Saccharomyces cerevisiae S288C: one gene and its partner. The protein of the gene in region 2 purifies or fractionates together with the protein of the main gene of each other region. This does not show direct contact. Each region holds a gene or a part of one and is shown on either strand. Other genes may lie near its edges.

The links.
Region 1: the proteins of RTS2 (region 2) and AZR1 purify together in Saccharomyces cerevisiae (affinity purification with mass spectrometry, with the first as the bait; one large-scale study listed by BioGRID). This does not show direct contact.

Annotation. Positions count from the first base shown.
Region 1 is NC_001139.9:941,190-945,147, reverse strand, and holds AZR1 (azole transporter), read right to left. Parts: upstream 2,343-3,958; coding exon 501-2,342; downstream 1-500. Other genes in the region: AMA1 (Ama1p), read right to left, coding at 1-3; phosphatidylinositol-3,5-bisphosphate binding protein HSV2, read left to right, coding at 2,933-3,958. UniProt on the Saccharomyces cerevisiae protein: Transporter protein required for adaptation to high stress imposed by low-chain organic acids, in particular by acetic acid, and for resistance to azoles, especially to ketoconazole and fluconazole.
Region 2 is NC_001147.6:470,104-473,097, forward strand, and holds RTS2 (Rts2p), read left to right. Parts: upstream 1-1,795; coding exon 1,796-2,494; downstream 2,495-2,994. Other genes in the region: SKI7 (Ski7p), read right to left, coding at 1-1,517; BUD21 (Bud21p), read left to right, coding at 2,622-2,994.

The sequences.
Region 1 (3,958 bases), on a different chromosome or scaffold from region 2:
CATATTTTTTTCTTTTTTTCTGATCCAAAGTTTTGTAAAACTTTAAAAGAGTTATATAAGCAAGTATTATTATCGTTGGAGGAAGAAAATTTGACCTTCCTTCAACTTTTGATTTTTTATTTTTTTGTTTCCAAGGATTAAAGTGTTCTTTGAGTACTAATCGTTCATCATTTTATTTTATTTTTGGCGCCTTAAAAATGGAACAAGGCAGACGCCGAAAAATACAAAAACAAAAGTCGAAATAAAAAGGGAAACTTCTATTGAAGGTGACATAGAGGCATTGACGCTCTTGCTATATGAACGTCGTTTATCATACCAGTATAAAAATCTAAATTAACTATTTAATAGCTGTACTCATACTGTCTCGGATTACCCTCTTACTGTTATCGTTAGTTGTGGTACACAATTCAGCAAGCTAAACAGCCAATTACTAAAAGTCATGTTTATTTTTTCTGCAGCTTTACACTTTGAGGCTCGCCACCTTCTAAATCGTGCTTAACTTATCTCAGGCTTGCTGTGACTTTCTTATTTGAAGCAAAAACAGCAAAAATGAGAGATAATGCATAAAATCCTAATGCCATGTAAAAGACGTCAGTGAGAGATTCAGAAATTATATTGCCCAATTTGGAATGAGAGCCATCGAAATTGGTCTGCCTATAGATTACCAGATTGTCTACCGTGGTACCATCTGGGAGCTGAATATTAGCCTTGGTTAATTTCTTGATAGCAGCAGCACTGAAAACAGTGTTAGAGATGACACCTCCCAGTGCTTGACCTAGATTTTTGCAAAATGTGTTAAAAGTGGTAATAGAGACAAAATCTGATCGAAAAGTTGGGCTCTTCTTGTCTAACTGAATTTGAGAAGCGAGCATGGAACTTTGTGCCAAACCACCGAAAGCAACGCCAGGTAATATCAAAAGGCCGATGTGAGCAGAGTTATTGGCATTATTGTTCAATAGGGTTAATATACCCGCACCAACAACACCAAAAATGCTTGAAATAACAATAATCGGTTTGATTTGGCGGGTTTTGTCGGTGATAGCACCGCAAAGTATTGCTGTAACGACTGTAGAAATAATGCAAGCAACCAGGTGTACAGCGGCTCTCCAGGCGGAATCATTGTAAATTAATTGGAAGTATTGCACAATATACGTAAACTGACTGATATATCCTGCACAAGTGAGAAACAAGGCTATATTAACCGTGAAAATACCTGGTTTCTTGATATTTGTCCATGACATTAATGGTTGGTAATGTGGTGTTGCTTTCACTATATTAAATTTGGGGAAGACAAGGAAATCATAGATACCTGCTAACACTACCAGGACTATACCGATGATGAAAAGAATAATGATGGATGCAGAGTTCCAAGCATACCGGTTACCGCCAAATGTGAAAGCCAATAGAATACATGTGAATCCAGCTGAACAAAACACAAACTCGATAATATCATACATGAAAATCAATTCCATGAACGGCTTTCTCCACCCATTAAGTTTGCTAAACCCTTTGATTTTCAATAAATGATATGCTACATTCCGAACAATTTCGATAAACTGTGATGGAAATTTGCGGATGTTATCCATTGTCTCTTGAAATGTACTTAAACCTGGGTTATAAAAGAACAGGAATAAGAAAAATGCTAGGCCACCGATCGGTAAATTAACATAGAAGCACCATCTCCATGTGACGCTGGAGGTGAAAACTCCTCCAAGGAAAGGCCCAACAACAGATGCAATAGCAAACGAACAACTCAAAACAGCAATTAGTATGCCTCTCTGCGACTCCTCTACCAGGGTTGAACCAATGACGAACGATAAACTTTGAATACCACAACCGCCGACTCCAGCAATAACTCTACCACCAATGAGCATACTCATTGAATTTGCTAAAGCAGAGATCAGCGACCCGATTTCAAAAATGACAATAGCAAATAGCATGGTCTCCTTGAATCCGATAGGTGTGGCAATTCTTCCCCATATCAACGCCAACAGAGCGTTTGGTAAGCTATACCCGGTAAATAACCACCCGATCTCAGAGTACGATCCAAACTGTTTAGCTACTTCTTCAATGATTGTAGAAACTATCATGATATCCAAGGCTGCCAGAAACAGCGACAAAGCCAATGCTATCAAAGATGCGTACAAGATAAACCCTTTAGGTAGTTCATTACTTTCGCTGGCGTTGTCCTCGAGCACCACGCTCACGTTTTGTTTTGATGTTGACTGCGTAGAATTTCGTCTCACAACATATTGTTTTTGCTGTTTCTCGTTCTGTTGTTGTGCTTTCTCACCGTAGTATGAGAGGTCGCTCATGCTGTAAGTCTTAGGTTCGCCTTTCATTGGGCTGCAATTTAGATACTAATGTAGACGTGGTGTTACTACAATTGTAGAAGAAAAGATACAAGATTTAAAGGACGTTGCAAGAGGGTACGGAAACTCTAGCATTATATATAATCAATTGATACAGTGCCGATTCTTTGATATAAGACATTTTTCTTTAAATTAATGTAGTGGTTCTGCTTGACACTTTTTATTGTATTTCCAGCCATAGCATATAGAAGCGCGGAAATACAGCGGATATCCGCTAGTTGGCGGAAATAATGCAAATTGGTAAGATCCTATGGTAACAGTGCAAGAAAGGGGCCTGAGTTAAAAAGAGAAAATGAGCCTATCCTAATGATGATAGCCAGGTTCATATTAACGTTGTTTACCTTTGTGTTCAAGATCAGGGGCTTTTGGCAGTATCTGAGCGAAATGAAATAAAGAAATTGATAATCACGTGATCACGGCTTTCTGGCTTGTAAAGCCGGTTATATTTATTTACCTTAGTAATACGTACTGCGGGGGCTATTGTTAAAGGGAAGAGAAACCAGAAGATCTGGAAAGGCAGCGATTATTAGAGGACAACTATAAGCATACATAACTAGCAGATGGATGTTCGTCGACCTATAAGGGAGGCAGTCAACAACAGGAGGAAACCAAAATTTTTGAGCGTTTCGTTTAACCAAGATGATTCGTGTTTCAGCGTGGCGTTAGAGAATGGATTTCGTATTTTCAATACAGATCCATTGACTAGTAAGCTATCGAAAACATTTAAAGAGTCTGCGACCAACCAATCCAGGGGCACTGGGATTGGCTATACCAGGATGCTTTATCGTACGAATTACATCGCACTAGTCGGAGGTGGTAAACGACCAAGGCATGCTCTAAATAAACTGATCATCTGGGATGATCTTTTGCAAAAGGAAACGATTACTTTGAAGTTTATGTCTTCCATTAAAGACGTGTTTTTATCTAGGATTCATATTGTGGTAGTCCTGGAGAACACAATAGAGATCTTCCAATTTCAAACCAATCCTCAAAGAATTTGTCCTATTTTGGATATCCCTCCCAATGGATCAGTGGACTATGTCGTTTGTAGCAGCAAACATCTCCAGTCGCAAGCATCGCAGTCACAGTCTAAAATCTTAGAAATCATTGCATTCCCATCGAATAAATGCGTAGGCCAAATTCAAGTAGCCGACCTATCACAAATAAAATATAATTCACAAAACCCGAAGGAATCAGCGCTTTTGCCCACTTCCATCATTAAAGCACATAAAAATCCCATCAAACTGGTTAGACTGAACCGTCAAGGCACCATGGTAGCAACATGTTCCGTCCAGGGTACACTTATAAGAATCTTCAGTACGCATAACGGTACTTTAATCAAAGAATTTAGAAGAGGGGTGGACAAGGCGGATATTTACGAGATGAGTTTCAGCCCCAATGGTAGTAAGTTGGCCGTATTGTCAAATAAGCAAACATTGCATATTTTCCAAATTTTTGAAACAACCAATACAGAAACGAATACACCAGACCACTCTCGTGCCAATGGTTCGAGCCATCCCTTGAAAAATTATATACCGAAGGGCCTATGGAGGCCCAAGTATTTGGACTCTGTGTGGTCGATATGC
Region 2 (2,994 bases):
GAAAAAAATGTCGGACCTTCATACCATTCGGGAACATAATTTATAGAGTCAAATTCTGACTTATACTTAGATTTTGTGATGTTTTCAGTTTTATTCAAATTCGAACCTAATAAACCCGAACACGGGATAAATTGGAATTCTGCGTCTGTCCACTGAAAGTTTTCCTTCAACACATAATTTAGCTCAGACTGAATCATTTCTAGTCGGTGCTTATCCCAACTAATTAGATCTGCCTTATTCAAAAGAATTATCAAGTGCTTTTTGCATGCGGAATTCTTGTTCAAATAAGAGATCACTTTTAAAATTTCATAAATCTGATTATTTGGACCATCTAATGATTTTTCCCACGAGTCATAATTGCAATCAATAACCAATACATAAACTTCAGGATCAAAGGTCAAAATTGAGTTCAGAGTTTCTTTATTGAAGTATTTGATACTACCAGGAGTGTCTATAAGCGTCAAGGTTGATGATGGCGGTAGTAAATCATTTTCTACCTGAATAACTTTCTTAAACATGGAAAATCCATTTTCTCTTTCTGTTTTGGTATTGTCTAGAATGACCTTAAAACTATTTGAAGATGAAGGATCCAAATTACTGCTTTTTTTTTGTAGTTCCCTCATTGATGACATAGAAATTTCGTTTAGATCATATAAAAGATGACCAAGCAAAGTGGATTTGCCTGCGTTTGTATCACCGAGGAACAAACATGTCAAATTCAGAGGATGGGTGGCAATGAATGAATGAATATCAATCGACTCAGTAGGTGGTGTTTGAAGGTTAATTGGTTCCTTTTTTTCGGCCTTGGGCACAGATTTGATATTTAAGTTTTCTAATTTTTCATTGAAAGCATTAAGTTGGGCCGATTGTATTATATCATCAGGACTTGGTCTATTGAAATTCTCAATGGCTACTTTACGAGTTGTTTTCGGCAGGTTACAAGGCACAAAAATACCAAGGAGCTCATTGTTATGCTTTTTTAAGGACAGAAATGATGAATTCTGCGACGATAGCGGTATTGATGTACTCAACGAGTTTTTTTTATCTTTTATGATAAAGTTTGTGAACGCAAAATCGTCGGTTTGATTTATGCATGGATCGTTTTTCAAGAAACAGTAATGGTTCATTTCTTTAATAGCCTTCCATGACTCTTCTAAGTTGAGTTTATCATCAGGCGATTTCCTTTTGGTAGGGAGTTCGTTTTCTTTGCTGTCTAATGTCACTGATTTTCCTTGTTTCTCCAAATCACTATTTGACTTCTTTAAGGCAGACAACTTTAAACTCAATGAAACACTATGCTGGTTCGGGGTAAAGTCGCTTCTTTTTACCTTGTCTTTTGCAAGTAGCGTCTTCAGATCCTTCCTTTTTGTCTCAGCATTGTTATCTTTAGTTTCTCTATTCTTATGTAGTCTTTCTAGTAAGGATGCACTTTTCGATGTACTATGAGACTGGTCCGCACTTAAAAGGCCTTTAGATTTTTCTATTCTTTTTCTTGCTAATTGCTCTAATAACGACATGTCAGGTGGTACTGTAAGTTTCGAAGACCACCTCCTCGTACGTGTATTGTAGAAGGGTCTCTAGGTTTATACCTCCAATCTGTTATAGTACATATTATAGTACACCAATGTAAATCTGGTCCGGGTTACACAACACTTTGTCCTGTACTTTGAAAACTGGAAAAACTCCGCTAGTTGAAATTAATATCAAATGGAAAAGTCAGTATCATCATTCTTTTCTTGACAAGTCCTAAAAAGAGCGAAAACACAGGGTTGTTTGATTGTAGAAAATCACAGCGATGGCAGATTATGATAGTGCGAAATATTGGTCCAAGCAGGGAGCTCGTCGTGGGTTACAGAAAACCCGTTACTACTGCCAAATATGCCAAAGGCAATGTAAAGATGCAAACGGATTTCAATCACATAACAAATCGCCATCTCATTTAAGGAAGATTAGTCAAGTGACAGCTGAGGACGCTAGGCGCTACAATATCCAGTTTGAAAAGGGATTTCTACAGTTATTGAAGCAGCGGCACGGAGAAAAATGGATTGATGCTAACAAAGTATACAACGAGTATGTTCAAGATCGCGATCATGTACATATGAATGCCACCATGCATCGTTCTTTGACGCAGTTTGTCCGGTACCTAGGCCGCGCGGGCAAGGTAGACGTGGATATGGATATTGATGATACATCTGAGAACGTTGAAGGTCCTTTGCTTATCAGGATCCATCCCTCATCTTTATCATCACCTTCTGAAGATGGAATGCTGCGAAGTCAACAAGAGGAGCAAGAAGTCATAGCCGCCGAGCTTTTGAAAAGACAACTCAATCGTGCTAAGCGACAAACTGAAAAGGTATATCAACCAGAGATGAAATCGGAAATTAGCGGGGATAGCACTCTGAAACGTGTTCAAGTCACCTTCCACGGGAATGGTCGGGTAAATAAAAAGAAAAAGAAGGTTCCTCCACGGAAAGATGGTATCAAGTTCCGTTGATTGAAAATTTTTCTTTTCAAGCGATGAGGTTAGCGAAGTTGTTCGAACAAGCCCAAATATGTTTAGAAGGCAGTACGAATTGATACCCTGAACTGTTACTACCCGTATACACGTATTAAGTAAGACAATGAGTAATGGACACGTCAAGTTTGATGCCGATGAAAGTCAAGCCAGCGCAAGTGCTGTCACGGATAGACAAGATGATGTGCTGGTAATATCAAAAAAGGACAAGGAAGTGCATTCAAGTAGTGATGAGGAAAGTGATGATGATGATGCTCCACAAGAAGAAGGGCTTCACTCTGGGAAAAGTGAGGTAGAATCACAGATCACTCAGAGGGAGGAGGCTATAAGGCTGGAACAATCACAATTGCGGTCCAAGAGAAGGAAGCAAAATGAATTATACGCCAAGCAAAAGAAATCAGTGAATGAGACAGAGGTCACTGATGAAGTAATTGCGGAGCTTCCTGAGGAATTGCTAAAAAATATAGATCAGAAGGACG